Notamacropus eugenii: one gene and its partner. The protein of the gene in region 1 interacts with the protein of each later gene in a pairwise test. Links are inferred from orthologs where the notes say so. Each region holds a gene or a part of one and is shown in the gene's direction. Other genes may lie near its edges.

What was found.
Region 2: the proteins of NUPR1 (region 1) and KNSTRN interact in a two-hybrid assay, tested with the Homo sapiens proteins (2 studies listed by BioGRID and IntAct). The link is inferred for Notamacropus eugenii from reciprocal best matches to the Homo sapiens genes NUPR1 and KNSTRN.

Annotation. Positions count from the first base shown.
Region 1 is NC_092872.1:46,708,676-46,717,885, reverse strand, and holds NUPR1 (nuclear protein 1), read left to right. Parts: upstream 1-5,860; 5' UTR 5,861-5,958; coding exon 5,959-6,070; intron 6,071-6,862; coding exon 6,863-6,999; 3' UTR 7,000-7,014; intron 7,015-7,230; 3' UTR 7,231-7,526; downstream 7,527-9,210. UniProt on the Homo sapiens protein: Transcription regulator that converts stress signals into a program of gene expression that empowers cells with resistance to the stress induced by a change in their microenvironment.
Region 2 is NC_092878.1:26,427,869-26,437,426, forward strand, and holds the start of KNSTRN (small kinetochore-associated protein), read left to right. Parts: upstream 1-5,421; 5' UTR 5,422-5,481; coding exon 5,482-5,540; intron 5,541-5,913; coding exon 5,914-5,981; intron 5,982-8,592; coding exon 8,593-8,713; intron 8,714-9,398; coding exon 9,399-9,446; intron 9,447-9,558. UniProt on the Homo sapiens protein: Essential component of the mitotic spindle required for faithful chromosome segregation and progression into anaphase.

The DNA of each region.
Region 1 (9,210 bases):
AATCCATTGGGAATTTTTTAGGTCCTTGCATTGCTATGAAGAACTAAATCTACAAGAAAAATTCCCCACACACTGTGGTTGTTGCTGTGCACAAAGTTCTCCTGGTTCTGCTCCTTTCACTCAGCATCATTTCGTATAAGTCCTTCCAGGCCTCTCTGAAGTCTTCCTGTTCATCATTTCTTATAGTACAATAGTATTCCATTACATTTCTATATCACAATTTGTTCAACCATTCCCCAATTGATGGGCATCCCCTCAATTTCCAGTTCTTGGCCACCACAAAGAGAGCTGCTATAAACATCTTTGTACATGAGACCCTTTCCCATTTTTATGATCTCTTTGGGATCTCGTATCTTCTTTAGGGCAAAATTTGTGCTGCAACACTTTAAGTGACAAGGAGCTCATTACCTCAATAGGGAGTGAGTGGGATAGGTTTAGTGAAGACTTCTCAGATTGTAATTCTTCTCCCAGGAGTGAGGTAAGACCTAGAGGCTCAAGGTTACAATATTTTTAGAATAGAATAGTTCCATATAAGGATATAAAACTGTGTAGTATATTAGGGTCTCAATGACTGGATAAAACTTATGTAATTCCTCGATGTCTTCATTTCAAAAGGGATTGGTTAGATTTCGTGTCTAGAATGTAAGATCATATTCTCAGCTAATGAGGATGATGGTCAGTGGGGGGAGGAGGGACTTGCATTAGGGTCTATATAAATCACTGCCCTTTTCTTTGTCTTCAGCTTTCCTACTCCTACAGGTTAGCCCCGCTTCTCGAGAATCGAATAAATCACTTTTCTGTCATCACTTTGAGAGTCCTCTGAGTAATTGATTTATGTAGGGACCTGAGCCATTCCACACAGTTGCCTATTTTATTGTTGGACAATTGTAACTGTTAGCAGTTAAAACTTCCTCTCTGTAACTTACATTCATTGTACAAGTTTTATTCTCTGGAGCCAAGGAGAATGTCTAATCCCACTTCCATATAACTCTTCAAATATTTGAAGACTCAACCAAACAAAATCTTGTATTGGACACAACACAATTTAAAAGGCATTGTTATTCATCATCATCACCATTATCATCATAATAATAAACAGCTAGCATTTATATACTTTAAGGTTTGCAAAGCAGTTTACAAATACCTCATTTTATTCTTACAAGCACCATTGGAGGTAGGTGTTTTTGTTATCCCTATTTTATTGATGAGGAACTTAAAGTAGACTAAGAAGTGACTTTCCCAGGGTCACACACCTAGTGTCTGAGTCAAGATTTAAACTCAGGTCTTCCTGACATTAAGTGAAATCCTCTAAGAAGAGAAGATTGTAAAAATGGTAAAAATCACAGCATTAATGTCAGAAAAGGTGCAAGAAGATATTAGGAGTTAGTTCATAGTTCTGCTTTTCACCTATGTCAGGTGTTTATGAAAATGATCTTTACACTTAGTAATGGGTGTTCTTCACGAAAATACCAAAATGGAACAAATAGAATTTCAAAGATGATTCTCTGCAGCAGACCACATCTTCATGTTGAAGTGCAGGGCATGGGTCTCAATGTTGTCTCAAAAGAATTCAGACTCAGACTGTCTCCAAATCAAGTAAGGGCATCGATTTGGAGTGATGCACCCAGTGGACTCTAATTCAGTGAGACAGCAGCAGCAGTCAGGAGAAGCTAGGGATTTTAATACAGGAAATGTGCCACGAGGGCAAGGAGATGAGGTAATCAGGAATATGCAGGCAAAGGGTGAAAGCTCAGAGTTCTGTGAATATCCTGTTCAGATAAGTCTTCATTTCATTGGCCAGCCCATTTGTCCAGGGCAGATCTCATTATTAATCTCATCATTCAGAGTTACAACACTGCTTGAGAGGTAGAATGAATTCAAGATCATTCTTGCCTTTCAAGCCTTCTTATACCTGGCTCACCACTACATACTCCGTGTTCCAGTAACGCTGGTCTTCTTGCTATTTCATGGACAAGATCTTTTAATCTCTGGGTCTGGGCATCTTCTCTGACTGTCCCTCATACCTGAAATGTCCTTCTTCATCTGCTTACTGCCTTCCCTGGCTTCCTTGTTAATACTATATGGTTGCAAATCATGAAATATGATGATCTACAAAAAAGCAAAGTTGTCCTCTATTCCTAGAAACACCAAAGAGCATGATGGTATTACAGGAGAAGGGGGGTGGCCCTCAGGATCTTGGAGCTAGAGGCCAAGGCAGTTTCTAGAAGGGCTTCAGCAGAATGAGATGAAGTTAAGATCGGGATGCCTCATATCTGTGGGCAAGGCTGGGCTAAGGCCAAAGCTTCAGGGCTTGGGGAGCAAAGGCCAAAAACAAGGTCCCCACACTGGACCAACCAGTCAAGGACATGAAAATCAAGACCTTAGAGGACATTTGTCTCTTCTCCTTTCCCATCAAGAAGTCTTGAATCCTGGGGGTCTTCTCTGAAGGATGAAGTCTGAAGATCATATCTGTAGACAAGTTGGCTTGGGTATCAAATGTCCCAAGGAAGTTCCTGTATCTGTGTCATCATCCTAGACACAGTGACCATTCAGCTTGCAAGATGTGGCCACTGAGGAAGCAAGATTAGCAAAGACACACACACACACACACACACACACGTATACACACTAGTGCCCCACAGTTTTGTCACTGACCATACTGAATCAGTCCTGATGAACCTGATTCCTACCTAAGGGAAGTCTCAGTTCCTGTGCCTAAAAAAACCCTTGGTGAAGGTCAGAATTGATGGTTGTTCTATTTTTTTTAACGGCTGTATTGCTACTCTGGACCCCTTTGCTAAAGCTACCTTTGATGCCATCTCTAAAACCCTCAGCTGTCTAATTTCTGGTTCATGGAAGGAGACTGTGTTTACTAAGTTTCCCTATAAGGAATTCATTCACCATCTTGTAAGGACAGATATCAGAGAAACCAGGCAATTGCCTGGCTACCTCATAAATGTCTTTGTAATAGCAAAAAATCAAATAAACTATGCCAATTTTTTAAACTTCAGAATTATAGATGATCCAAAGAAAAATGGAAGGATAAAGCAGAAGTATAAGTAGGCTGCAATATTAACTACAATTTGCTTTCAATAAGTGGCAAAGAAGTCATTTATAACATGTAAAACTGTAAAAGTAGGTAGTTCAGGCACATATAGAGAAAGGGAAATAACACTTGGAAGCCTTGAGTATTACGCTGGTGTCCTTAATATTTTAAAAGACCCAGAGGCTGTGTGACCTTGGGTAAGTCACATAACCTCCCTCCCTGAGCCTCAGTTTCTTCATCTATAAAAAGAAGATGGTGATAGTTATACCTAAATGACTCAGAGAAAGGACTCTGTTACACTGGGCAGGTCTTTTGTGGAGAATTTATGGAAAGACACAGGTAATATTTACACACAATACGGAAGCCTGGGTGTGTTCTTTATAAATGGAGGGAGTACAGGTACAAATGGGTTCTCAGATTCATTGCTCTAGAACTTCTTTCCAATTTCTTTAAATGTTCTACATTTGACATGGATGGTGAGTGTGCCCTCTCCCTCTCTAATAGAAGCAGGCCTGCTACATCTCCTCTGAGGATTCTAGGGTAACCTGAGGAATTGAGTATCCTTTTTTTTTTTCTTAACATCAGCTGAAGCACCCACCAACTGTGTTACTAATGTGGATTACTTAAGGGCCAGTGACTAGAGCCCTTCATTCATTTAACTTCTTAATATCAGGTAGCTTTTACAAAGGATATTTATTTCAGACATAGAAAGAACAAATTTTTAAACATTTTCCCCAGTCCCTCCACAGAACACTCTTCCCTACACTACCTTGGTCTTTAGGAGAATAGATTCAAAACTTAACTCAGTTCCTAGACAGCATTGCTCTTGCCAAGTTCACAGCCAAATGCAGCATCAATTCTGATGAAGTCCGGTTACAGATTTTGACATGGATCTAAAAGCTTCTTTGGGGCATCAGTACTGGACTGGTGGCAACACCCAGCCTGGAACTCAGGTTCTGGAATGCCAAGATGATAGGATGTCTTCATGATGACCTTTTAAACTTACTAGGTTGTAAGATTTCATTCCCTTCAACTAGAACAGACAAAGAACAAATGAAAAGTCCAAGGACCCAAACCCATTTCTATCAGAGGAGCACTGGGGGGCATATGGGAAAAGGTTCTAAGACCATTACTTATATAGAATGCTCTCTTGCCAGACACTGGTGTAGTAGCTTCCCAAGGTACTAATGAAACAAAAGCTGACTCAAGTCTTTTTAAAGTTCTGACAGCTCTAGCTATGTGGCTCTTTGAAAAAGGGCCCTTCCAACCATGTGGTCAACCAACCAGAACCAGTACTTTTGTCTACACACGCTCCATAGTCTCTTCCCCAAAGAACATCATCACAATTTTCCCAGAAGTCATTTCTCCAGTGTCCTCCATGTAGAGAGGTTACATCACCAAGCAAGCTAATGGGGTCTACATGTGCACCAAACTATCATCATGCATAGTTCAAAAGTTCCTTGTTATCCTGGTCTCCTTCCTCTGGACCCAACCCGTGGGTGTTCAGAAGGCAATTGTTCACAGAATATTACCCTGTGGGATTGTGAGGATGAAAAAGACTGGATACAAATCTTTCCCTGACTGCATCTGACCATCCCATGCTTGGCTGCCAAGTGTCAATGGGTCATTCTAACCTGTCCTCATGTAGTTGCATGCCATTCACTGCCACCACCACTACTACCCATTGAAAAAAGAAACGATCACCTCTCTGTCAGGAATTGGGTAGCACACTTCATCACTGGTCCTCTGGAATCATCTCTACCGCACTTTTACTTGTGTTTTTACCATTGCTTGAAAATCCTCCACTCCTCCCGGATCTCCATTTACCAGACTATTTCATTCTTAAAACCACACTTCCAGTCCTATCTCAGTGCTTCCTCTAACTGCTTTCCCTCATATTTCCCATCTAGAATACTGTGTTTGTACTCTTATAAACCCAATCACATTCTGCTTTATAGTTATTCCCCCAAAGACTTGGAAACTGCCTGTTGTTTTTGGTTTTTTTAACTCACATTTCTATACTACTGTGAGGTTTGTAAGGCACTTTCCTCAGAGTAACCTTTTAAGACAGGTAACCTTTTTTTACAGATGAGGGAACTGAGGATAAGGAATTTGCCTAAGATCACAGCTAGCAAGTAGTAGAGTTGGGATATTCTGCTCTTTTCTTTAAAGGCTGGGGTGGTGATATCTAACATATCTTTGGATCTCTTTCTGCTTCGAGGACTTGCAGATGATATTGCTCAAAAGATATTTGTTAAATGAATGCCTGACATGGACCCCCTCACGTTTTTGACAGACCTTTATCTGTATTTGGTTTGTCAAAGCCTCAAAGGAAGGATCAAGGGGATTTTTATCTCTTTTTTTCCTTCCCACCCCTCTAGGCCACCAATCCATAGTAAGTTTGTTGGATGAAGAAAGACCTGGGTACTGAACTCTTCCCAGTCCTAGGAGGTTGTTTGTCCCTAGATTCTCCTCCTCTCCTCCTTTCCCCTTATTTTTTCTTCTCATTTTCTCCTTTCTTGTGCTCTTCTACTCCCAAAGACCCCAGAACCCTGAAATAAGAGTTACCCTGTGTGAAAATATCCAAATGGGAGGGAACCTGAGGAGAACAGAAAGGAGAAAAAGGAACAACTGCTGGGGAGGTGGGGGGTGGTGTGGGGAGTCATGAGACAGAAGACTTTTCCTGTTGTGATTTCATTTCTGTTTTTACTGGATACTGGAGTACTGGAATGGGGCCAGATTGCATCAGACTAGGCCAACGTGGATTATGTGAGGGGAGGAAACCCAGCCTTATAAATTTGGGGAGGAGCTGTCTCAAGGAGAAGCAAAGCCCTGAGACAGAGAGAAACAGAAATTCACAAACAAGAAATCAGATAGACTAGTCCCTGAAGGGACAGAATTCTCCAGTCCTAATGGCCACAGCTCCATTAGCTGCTCCACCACTCCATCGCCTGACCTTAGACGATGAGGAGTCCGAGTGCTTGGACCAATATGACATATACAGCTTTACAGATTCTTATTTGGGTGAGAGATGTGACCCCACCTTCCTTACCTAGATGCCCACTCATTCTAGCTTCCTCTCTAGTACCCCTAGTTTCAGTCCTCTCCCTATCCAGACTCAGCTCTGTATCTCTAGAACATTTTTTCCTAATATTTTCCTGATATTTTCAGACTGCCTGTGGATTTCAATCTAACCATCTCTACCCATCTGATACCTATCTCCACCCTCTATCCACTTAATTTCAATCCTAAATACTAGCCAGTCCCACAAACAACCCTATAGAATCCTTTGCCACGTGTCCTTATCTCAGCCCTCTCAGCATCTTTATTTCCCATCATGGCTCAGCTCATTGTTTTAGAGACCTTCCTTATCCCTCCAGTTTTTAGATCTCCTACCCTCTTCAAATTATCTTATATTCATTTATCCATGTACATGTTGTTCCCCATTAGAACATAAGTTCTTTAAAGGCAAGGATATTTTGTTTTTTCCTTTGGATCTCCAGTACTGAGTGCAGTACCTTGCACGTAGAAGATGTTTGCTGAATTGAATTATACTTATCTGAGAAACTGTCTAATCCAAACTCTGAGTTTTATAGAGGGGGCTGAGAAGAATGAAATGGTTTGCCCAAATTTACACAGCAAGTTAAGGAGACATCCAAAAATAGGACTCAGGTCTCCTGCTTCCAGTCCAGTATTCTTCCCCCTCACATCTCTAACTCTCTTTTTGTTGGTCTCTGCAACCATGGGTACCAAGTGGCTTCCACCCACTATGTTCTCTGAGCAGCTCATTCTTAGGACTATTGCTTTCTATTTCAGGAAGAGGGAGTGGGAAGGGTCGTACCAAAAGAGAAGCTGCTAACCATACCAACCGACCCAGCCCAGGTGGCCATGAGCGGAAGCTGCTGACCAAGCTTCAGAACACAGAACAAAAGAAACGTGGCACTAGACCCTGAGCCTAGAATCCTGAGGTAAGGGAGCCCAGAACCCCCATTCAGATCTCTCCCAACCGAATATATGGGCTGACACACTAGGAAAAAAATGGTATCCAACTCTAAGTTTCAGAGCCAGCTGGGAGATATGACCCCTAAAGTCTAGGAAAAAACCCTAGAGTCCTAGAAGGTCCCCTAAAGTTGGGAAACTTAGACTCACTGGTCTCAACCTCTAAAGATCTCTTTTTCTTCCAGGCTGGGCCTGAGTACTGATACCAAGATCACGGCTATGGACATACGACATTGAAGACAGGGCAAGAGAGATTGAATCTTAATCTTCCCTGACAGCCTTATCTCAAGAAATGTGCCCTCCGAAGCCTAGCTGGAGTTTGGAAGGGTCTAGCAAGTGAGTTCCTTTAGCACTTGCAGAAGGGATGAGGAGGAGCAGATGGTAGGAATGGATGAACTGGGAGGAACAGGAGGAAAGGGAGAATCTACCTGAAGAAACTGTCTATCAAAGGACAGAGGTTACAATAAAGAATCAATCAGAAGGTTGTGTGTGTGTGTGTGTGTGTGTGGTTGATTTCAAGTCTCCAATGTTTACGAAAACACCCTCTCTCCTCTTCTCCTCCTTCTCCCTAGTGCCCTCCAAAATGATAAGAGGGCCACAAAAACATCTCTTCCTACTCATTTCAGGCTTATAAGATCAAGCCCTTTCAGCTGTTATTTCCATCAAATGCTGGAAACTCTGTAAGGCTGGTGTCAGAAAAGAACTTACAACCTTGACCTTTGTGATTCTGATTTTGCTGTATGGCTATAGACAGTGAACCTGGGGAAAAGATTCCAGGAATTCTTAGCACATTAAGAAAATTGATACCTTCTTTAAACTAACAGTCTATAAGCAAAGAATTTAGAACAGTGAAGAGAAAGTATATGAGGAGAAGGATATGAGAGTGGCAATGGGATATTGGGGACAAAGAATCAGCCCTTAGAGTCAGGAAGACCTGGGTTCAAGTTCTCTTCTCCTCCCATCCACCCACACTAACTGACCCCAGGCAGGTCCCTTTATCTCCCTGTGCTCCAAGAATCTCCCTGAGACTTTAAGTTTCAGAGCAGATACCAACCTGCATTGATAGGAGGAGTTTTCTTGCTGAGAGTTCGCTATACCAATGAAATTAGGTCCAGTCCAAAAGATGAAATATTTTGTTCTGGTTTTTAAAGAAAGAAGTTATATCTGAGGAGTCAACTTGGAGTATTTAAAGAAACATATTCTGCATCTAGGGTAATGATAGAAGAGATAAAACACTCTGGAATGATTGTGAGAACAATCAATCAACTTTTATTAAGCACCTATTACGTGCTGGACACTGTACGAAATACTGGGGATACAAAAAAAGACAAAAGACCATCATTTCCTACAAGTAACTTACAATCTAATGGGGAGACAACATGCAAATACGTAGAAAGCTTAAGTACAAAGTCAACTGAAAGTCATGTCATCATCTTGAACACAACATACAAAGCAAGCTTTGTAATAGGAAATACTTAACAGAAGGAAAGCACTCGAATTAAGTGGGGTGGGGTGAGATTCTGCCACCTAATAAATGGGCTGTACTATAACCAAGCAATCCTACTTCCTCCAAGTCATGTTTGATGGTCAGGACCCTCTCTGCTTTGGTGGCTGTAAAAAAGCCAATCACAGGCAGCACACCTGAAGACTGCTGCTGTGAATGATTTCAAGGGTCTAATGTGTAATAGTGATGTCCTTAAGTAAAACATGTCATTCAATCAATATTAAGTATCCAAGTAAAGTCCTTTTTCAAAATATCCCATTATCCACCACTAGGTCACTGTAAAAACAGTCTTCTCAATCGGTATCAGGTGTCCAGGTGAAATCCTCTTTCATCTTAATACAAGGTTGGCTTCCAAGTCCCATGGCTCTTTGTCAGTGGCCTGACCACTCCTGACTCTCCCTGCATTCACACACAGGCAGATCTCTGCTCCTGCTCCATGTCTCAGCTCATGAGGACTGCTCTACTCTGCAGCTTCTGTCTCCAGGAAAACCAAGCTCAACAGGGCAACAACAATACTAACACACACCACCAGCACCATCATCTCAATTCACTCCTAAAGACCAACAGATAGGGCTTCTGTCTGAGAATTCAACACAGACCAAGAGACAAGACTAGTGTCTGAGAAACAGATCAACAGACAGGGCTTCTTTCTGGATTTCAG
Region 2 (9,558 bases), on another chromosome or scaffold:
GGCAAGAAGGAGGAAGCAGAGCTTCTCCACCATCCCAAACTCCTCCAAATGGATCTAAAAACTACAACAAATACAGATGGGAAAATCCAGAAAAAGTCATAGTGAGTCATTTGTCCAGCCCAGATCAGCATATAGAAAGACAGAAAATTCTGCAGACATGGTGGTGGGATCGGGTCAGGAGTATAATGCATATGGGAGCTCAGGAAGAGGCTCTGCCTTTGGACAAGAGGAGGAACTGTATGAAGGATGCAGAAACAGGTGTCAACTGGCAGTGCCCAACACCCCATGTTAGGCCACAGATCCAAGGCAGACTAAAAGAGAATCTGCACCCAGAAATGATGTTCTCAGATGTGGTGTGCCAATGGTAAACAGGTGATGTGCCAAGAAAGGAGCAAATTCAGAATCAAGTGGAAGCTTGTTCATTGGAGCAGAAAGGCATCTCATTTCTAGCATCTAGCTTAGTCTGAAGCCTCTAGAACAGCCAGGGCAGGAATCTCAGGCCAAAGGTGAGCAAAGGACGCAGTTCAATCATTGAACTGGCAAAGCTTTCCTGCTAGCTGATAAGAGTTGTGTCCAATAACTCTCTATTGTTGCTCAAGCCAAATTCAGATCAGGAACTTTCATAGATCAGATCAGGATGGCAACAATCAAACTTTGCCCTAGATCAGACCATTTGTGGAATGCTGAAAAACTTGCAGATCTCCAGCCTGTCCTTGAGTTCCTAGTATAACACAACTTTAAAACTTACAAAAATAAATAAGATGAGACACTTGAGTAAACAATTGGAAAGGAAATGAGAGCTATGGAAGAAAAAATTAGTAAAGAAACCAATAGCTTGTCACAAGAGGGACAAAACCTTGTTGAAGCAACAAACTCGCTGAAAATTAGAAAGTGCTAAATAGAAGCCAGTGACTCCATGAGGCAACAAGAAATATCAAAACAAAGTCAAAAGATGAGAGAATAGAAGAAAATGTAAGATATCTCATAGCAAAAAGCAACAAACATGGAAAATAGATCAAGGAGAAAAAAATAAATTAAGAATCATTGGACTATCTGTATGCCATGACCAGGACAAAAGCTTGGACATAACATTTCAAGAAACCTTAAAAGAAAACTACCCAGATTCCTTAAAACAGGGGTGGGGAACCTGTGGCCTCATGGTCACATGTGGCCTTGAGGTCACTGGTTACCCATTCCTGCCTTAGAATCAGAAAGCAAAGTGGAAATTGAAAGAATCTACTAGTCACCTCCTGAAAGAAACTCCAAAATGAAAGCTTTGGAACATTATGGTCAAAATCCAAAACTTCCAGATGAAAGAATAACCAAGAAACAAAGAAAAAAAGAACAAAACACTACAAGCAGTCAAAAAAGAAAGAATTCAAGTACCAAGGAGTCAGAGTCAGACTCCTATATGATTTAGTGGCTACCACTATAAATGAATGGATAACTTGGAACACAATACTCCAGAAAGCAAAGGATATATAACTTATACAGCAAATTGAATATAATGCTACAGGGGGATGGATGGGAGGGGATGGGGGTGGAACGGACCTTTAATGAAGTAGAAGACTTCAAAGCATTCCTGATGAAAAGTCCAGATCTTGGTAGCAATTTTGAAGTTCAAACACAAGAATTAAGAGAAAGCTAAAAAGGCAAGGAAATAAACAATGCTAAGGGACTGCACAAGGTAAACTGCTTGCTTCCTAATATGGGGAGATAATACGTGTCCCTTATGAGATCTGTCAGGGGTCAGAGAGTGAATCTTATTAGACAGAAGACGTGGAAGTGGTTCTGTTACGTCTTGATGATCTTAAAAGAAGTATGTAAAGAGACGGGAAGAGGAATACACTTGGGGCAATGTAAGGGAAAGAGGAAAGAAGGTTAGGGGAAATTATCTCACCTAATCAGGGCACACAAGTAGACATCTATACAAACAAGGAGGTGGGGATAGGGGATGGATGATGCTTCAATCTCATTTTCCTATCACACTCAGAGTTGGGTACAGAAATGCATTTCACACAATAGGAGGAAAAAAAGAGGAGGGGTGAATTGGAGGGAGGATAGATTAAGGGAGGAATTAGTACTAACAAACTAGTACAAACAAACTAAGGTTGTACAAAGTATTTGTAGCTCTTTTTAAGGTGATAAAAATGGGAATCTGAGGGGTGCTCATAAATTGAGGAGTGGCTAAATATGTTCTGGTATGTAAACGTGATGAACTATTGTGGTGTGCAAGAAGTAATGAAGATAATGGTTTCAGAGACACCTGGGGAGATTTGCATGAACTGAAGCAGAATGAAGTGAACACAATCGGGAGAGTGATTAATTAATATAATGGTTGCTGTCCTTTGTCTTCGCAGAGGACCAAAATGACATCACCATATTACAGTGAAATTCAGTGTGTCTGACTGTGGCTGATGAGACCAATAAGATCTCAGAATACTGTACCACAGGTTGGGCACAGATTGTCCATGTGAATATTTGGGGTGGATACTCCAAATTTGCGCATCCTGCGTTTACTTTGTGCTGTCTCAATTCTGCTTTGCTCAAAGAGCACAGCACCCTTTCGGATGTGGGCACACCATGCTGAGCGGGTCCTGTGCCAGTGTCTCCCATGTTGCACAGTCAAATCCAGAGTTCTTGAGAGAGACCTTGAGAGTATCCTTGTATTGCTTCTTCTTCCCACCATGTGGAACACCTGCCCCACGCGAGTTCTCCATAAAATAAGTCTTTTTGGCAAGCATACATTTCACATTCGAACAACATGGCCAGCCCATTGGAGTTGCGTTCTCTGGAGCATGGTTTGGCAGTTCAGCTCGAGCAAGGACTTCAGTATCTGGTACCTTATCCTACCAGGTGATCCTCAGAATCTTCCTAAGACAGTTCAAATGGAAGTGATTCAGTTTCCTGGCATGGCGCTGGTAGACTGTCCATGTTTCACAAGCATATAACAATGAGGGCAACACAACAGCTCTGTAGACCTTCAATTTGGTAGTCAGTTTAATGCCTCTTCTCTCCCAAACTTTTCTTCGGAGCCTCCCAAACGCTGAGCCAGCTCTGGCAATGTGTGCATCACGTGTGTTCAGGGAGGACCGGTACCTTTGGTGTGATGGCTGCCAAGTCCTTTTCAGGGCTCTTTCCACCTTTGGTGTCCACCTGTTCCACCCAACTCTCACCTGTGGCTCCAAGAAGCTGCAGCATGCTCAGCGGCCACACCCGGGTAAACCATTGAGGCAGACTGGCCAAACCAGGTTGAGGGTAACCAAGGGTTCTCACACCCACAGGTGAGTTAGGGAGGTGTGTACCTCAAGTATGTGAAGACTTTCTCTGGTGGAATGGGCGGATGAGAACAATTTGTTCCAATGGCCATGAATTAATGCAATGACAACAATATGAAAGAATTAGCAGCTTGGATCAGCAGGATGACTAAACACTATTGCAGAGAACTAATGATGAAATGCTACCTCTTTCCTGATGACAGACTCAGTGAAAAAGAAACTTTTTTTTTGGAACAAAGTCCATGTAAAAATTTGTTTTGCTTGATACACTTGTTTATAACTAGGATCTTATTTTTCTTTGGCTCTTAATTTGGGGGGTGCACAGATTAGATGAGGGGAGGTAAGAAGATAGATTTTTGCTAAATAAAAAAATGCAAATATAGGAGGACTATGGGCGTGCAACAGTGCACATATTGTCAGACGCAGTCAATGTAGTTTAATCCACTGAGCTGCTTTAAACCCCTCTGTTTTTTCTTTATTATTAATGAATACAACACAAACTAGGGAAGAGGAGGGAAACACTCATATTCAGAAATAAAAGTGGTGTAAAAACAAAAGATGGCAATACAAATTAAACAATTTTTTAAAATCTAAAAAAGCTGCTATTAATTCAATAATACCTTCAAATTAATTTGTATTTTAATAATCACAATAGCAAATATTTAAAGAATAGTAACACTTACGTAAAGAGGTAACTTGTAGCATAGTGGATAGAGTGCCAGGCTTGGAGTCAGGAAGACCTGAGTTTAAATCCAGCTTCAGACACTTACTAGCTGTGTAACCCTGGGCAAAGTCATTTAACCCTCTTTGTGTCAATTCCTTCTCTGTAAAATGAACTGGAGAAGGAAATGGCAAACTCCAGTATCTTTGCCAAGAAAATCCCAAAAACGGGTCACAAAGAGTTGGACACAACTGAAAACAACTAAACTACAATAACACATATATAAGATATTATTTATATAGCATGATTGTTGTTTATAAATAATTTTCATAAATATGTTCTCATTCTTTATAAATAATTCACATTATTTAATGAGATAACTGGTATGCATATGGATTCTGGACTATCTTTCAATCTGACTGTTCACCTCCTTAATTTTCCACCCTCTCCCAGTCTTAAGAAATTGGATTTTATGCCAAAATTCAAGAAGAATTCTGGCAACCAAGCAATGTAATTAATGATGAATGATTAACAACGACAACACAAAATCCTAGATATAAAGCTGGAAGCCTTTCCATTGTACCACTTTTATATAGTGGTACATATATATGTATATATACACATACATATATACGCACATATATATGTATACACACACACATATATATACATATATATATACTGGCATATATTCATATAGTATATAAGAACTATTAGCATAACTCTTAACCTCTTTTGGGGTCATGGACCCCTTTGGCAGTCCAATGAAGCCAATGGACCCTGTCTCAGCATGATGCTTTAAAATAATTGTAGGAGAAGCTTAATTTCAGTTAGAGGTTAGTAAAAATAAAGGTGTATTTTTTCCCCCATTCAAGTTCATGAACCTCATCAAACCTATATCCCTGGACCCCTCTGGGGGGTCTGTGGAGCCCAGGTGAAGAACCTTTGCTTTAAGGTCACAAAGGTATTCCATATATTAATTCATCTGATGCTGAGTTGTCTGGGATCCCTGATGAAGGCTTGGGCAAGCCCAGGTAGATCTTCCAATTCTTGATTAAACAAGATCCTTTATTAAACCCACTGTGCAGTGGATAGGACGCTGGGTTTGGGAGCCAGGAAGTCTTGCTTCGAAATGCTACCCTTGGCACTCACTAGCTAGTCTTGTATCCCTGGGAAAATCAAGACACCTCTCAGTGCCTCAGTTTCTCCGTCTGTAAAATGGGGGACTTGGACTAGAGAGTCTTTGATGTCCCCAGTCAAGGTCACCGTGCCCTCGCCCCAAGGCCTTCTCCAGCGATCGTTCCTTCCAACTCCACATCCTGACGAGCTCACCCCAGCCTTTCCCAAACCTCCCACCACGCTCCAGCCCCGGCCAGCCGTACAACATGGCGGCCCCCTCGCTCTCGTTCCTGTAGGTTTCCTCCGTACAGCATGGCTGCCTCCGGGACTCAGAGCCGGCCCCGCCCCCTTCCACCGGAAGTTTCTGTTTGAAATACCGGCGGCGCCTGGGCTGGCGGTTCCTGTGCCCGAGCGTGAGTGGTGATGGAGAGCGGGTGCAGACCGGGGGTCGGGGACCCGGCTTCGGCCGGGGAGCGTCCGGGGTAAGAGACGGCTTGGAAGGAAGCGGGGACCCGGGGGCTGAGGGGGCGGCGGGCCGGGCCCCGGGGGGGCTGAGGGGGAGGCCTGGGCCCCGGGGGGGCTGAGGGGCGGCGGGCCGGGTCCCGGGGAGGGGGCTGAGGGGGGGCGGGCCGGGCCCCGGGGGTGCTGAGGGGGAGGCCTGGGCCCCGGGGGGGCTGAGGGGCGGTGGGCCGGGCCCCGCGGGGGGCTGGGGGGGCGGCGGGCCGGGCCCCGCGGGGGGCTGGGGGGCTGGGGGGGCGGCGGGCCGGGCCCCGCGGGGGGCTGGGGTGGCGGCGGGTGCCCTCCCGCCCGCAGCCCGCCGGGGCGCCTCTCCCAATGGAGCCCCCTTCCCTCCAGGGTCCAGTCCGGCCGCGCCTCGAGAGCCAGCACCGCCAGGCCTGCGTTGGGCGGAGGGCAGCCCGCGGGTGAGTACCGGGGCCGGGTCGTGGCCTTCCGCCAGCATCCGTAAAGCGCCCACTGTGTGTGCCCTGGGCCCTGGGCATCCCGGGAGGCCCCGAGGTTTGCTAGGGCTAATACCGCGCTGTAACGGGGTGGGGGTGGCGGGGAGCGCAGGTAGATACTAATGATGGCTAATGTTTATGTAACACTTAACGGATGCCAGGTGCAGTGCCAAGCCCTTTACCTTTATCGCAACGACCCTATTGGCATCCCCATTTCACAGATGAGGTTGAGTGACTTGCCCAAGGTCTCCCAGCTAGTTCACTAACTAGAGGAATTAGGAAAAGCCTTTTCAAGGAGCTGGCACTTGGGCGCCTTCATTACTGATTCCCTCGGGGATCTTGTTAGCTCTGACAGATCCAGTTATCATGCCTACGGAACATGTCCCTCAGATCTACTGTCTAGCCCCAGGTCCGCCCTCACCTCACTGACTGTCTGTCTGCGTGTGTTCTTCATTTTGGAAGAGAATGATGACGTCCCTTGCACTTGACTTTGTTTTGAGTGAGGGAGGGCTGTGCAGGTCCCCAGCCTCACTTCTCCTCCAGAGCCATCTGGATCCGGTGACCAGATAGTCTTCAGGATGACTGGAGATGACCCAGGATCCAACTGGTTGTTCTGTGAACATCTTAAACTCAACATCTCCAAAACTGAACTCATTATCTTTTCTATCAGACCTTCCCTTCTTTCTAACTTGGCTGTTACTGTGTAGAGGATACTATCAGGAGTCTAGTCACCAAGGCTCACCACCTGCCTATCATCCCCTCCTCCTCTTACCTTACCCCTCCACCCCCATGTCCAATCCGTTGCCATTACCTGTTGTTTTTACCCTCTTAACATCTATTGCATATGTACCCCCCTCTTCTCTGATGCTGCCACTAGCCTGGTGCCACTTATACCTGAATTTTTGCCATAGCATACTGCCACAAGTTTCTCCCCATTCTAATCCATCCATCACTAAGCTGGCAGAGTGTTTTTCCTAAACATAGGAAACATAACCATGTCACTGATTTCTTATTGAACTCCAGCAATTGCTTGTCACTTCTGGGATCAAATATGAAATCCTCTTTGGCATGCAAAACTCTTCATAGCCTGTTCTCCTCTCCCTCCTCCTCCAGAAGCACAAAAGCATGTGTCTGGAGAGCAAGGGTGGTTTTTCTTTTTGTCTTCATAGTTCTAGCCCTTAGCACATTGCTTTACAGAGTGCTAGTGTGGATACACTGAGAACCTACTGACTTGGACTTTTAAAAGACATATATTAAAGGTGCAAGAGAAAGTAGGTGTCAGAGGATAAATCCAGAAGAGTGGTGACTCCCTACCTGTACAAATACAGACTAACATGGCTGATACAGAGTTGAAGTTGAAGTTAAGTAAGGCATTTGTTTGTAAGAAAGCATCTGGCTGCCCTCAAGTCCCCAGACTTGGACTACCACAACAGTCAGTACATGAAAAAATTGGTAGAAGTGATTGCTAAACTGATGTAAATAATCTTTGAAGAATTTTAGAGAATGGGAGAGGTGCCATAGAATTGGAGGTAACAATTGTCCTCATTTTGAATGAGGGAAAGAAGAGCCTTCCAGTTACAGGCTAGGGAACTTGAAAAGAGTAGAAACTGGATGCTGGGAGACTAATTAGGAGGCTGTTGTTAGAGTGCAGGTAAAAGATGGTGTAAGCTTGAATTAGGGTAGTGATCCTGTGAATAATAGGTTCAAATCCCACCTCTAACATCCAGACTTGTATGAACTGATGCAAAGCGAAATGAGCAGGACCAGGAGAATAACCTGTCCAGTTACGGTAATATTGTGAAGGTAATCAGCTTTAAAAGACTTGGTAATTTTGATGAACGCAACAAGTCATCACAATTCCAAAGATTCATCACAGAATGCTGTCCAGAAAGATAACCAGTTGACCCAGAGTGCAGATTTGAAGCATATTTCATCCTTCTTTCTTTTCCTGGCTTTTTTTGAAACAAGCTTGATGTGGAAATTAGTTTTGCATAACTGAATTTGTAATGGGTTTTGTTTTCTTCTCAGTGGATTGGGGAGGGGGGAGTAGGGAGAGAGAAGGAAATTTGGAACTGAAATAAAAGCGTAAAAAAGTCTCCGTTTTAAAAAGTAATCTTGTAAAAAAAAAAGTTGTTAATAAAAATTTATTTTTTAAAAAGAAATGAAATAAAGTAGCTAAGACCCATTAAATAGTTCCAGCAAATTATGAAATATAGCTATGGTGTGTTTAGGGAGTTTAAGCCTGTATTCTCCACCTTCCTATCTTCATTCTTTTTTTAAATCTTATTCCTTTCGCTTATATTAGCCACCATGTTACGTTTATACCCTTTTTATCTCTTCCAGCCTTAGAGATCCTCAGATGAGTACTCAAAGAGTCCATGTATTATTTTGGGTAGTGTTACTTAGATATGGCCTTTTTATCCCAAGGAGATTAAAATTCAGTGATTCAAAGCTGCTCTTCCTAGAATGAAGTTGACTCAATTAGGACATGGCAATTTGGATTAAAACACTGACCATGATATTAGAATTGGGTTACGTTGGTTGGGTTTTCACCCTCTTAATTTTCCTTTCACAGAAACACATTCTCGGGCTGCTTCTAAGAGTCAGATACCCCAGAGGTGCAAAGAAGTAGAACTCCACAAGGCCCTCAGCTCAACAGGTCTAGAGAATGAATTGTACAAAACTACCAAACAGAGGTCAGAACATAGAAATAGACGGTTGCACTTAAATGGATAATTTTGTCAGAAGTGACTTCAAATGACCTGACCCTGAAAAGGAGGTTTTGAGTAGAACATGAGAAATGTATTAATGTACACTGTTGTTGAGCAGCGCACAGTTCCTTTGTCAGTCTCCCAACCCCCTTAGAGATCTGTTCTGGAAAAGACAAATTGAAGTCACTAACAGAAGGTGTTTTGAAGCTGTCCTTTCCTCTCTCATCACAACCTTTTACATGTCCTTACCAAAAAGTAGATACAAGTGGAACTGGAAACAGAACAATTAGTAAGCCACATTTATTTGAATTGAGCCCTAACTTTGAAGTTAAACTCATTGCAGTGGGATGGGTTTTCTTTTGTTAACCTTTTTCCCTTTATAATGGGAAATCCAGAGTTCCTGCTAACAGTTTGAGCTAAGATAAATGAGGCTTTACTTTAGCCCTGAGATTTGAAGATGGTTAGAAATAAGTTTGGAGGACCTCCGAGGAAGTGCTACTACCAGGTGTAGCTTGTAGTCTCCAGACTGAGGGCCATTGTTTCCATTAGATTCATAGTAAGGAAGAATTAGATGATTGCTAAGGACTCCTGCATCTTTAACAGTCAGTGAGTCTCAATGCAAATGACACTCGGGTTGTTTACTGGCTTATTTCTGTATCGTTGACTCTAGGCAGATGAAGACCATGGATCCTGCTATTAAGAAGAACATTAGAAAAAGGTGAATCTTGGGGCAAATGAAACTGCTTTTCTTTTTGAGTTGAATGTCCTTTTATCCTAGTGTCACAAATACTGCGTAAGCAGGGCTGTCATCTCTACCAGCTAGAAAATGT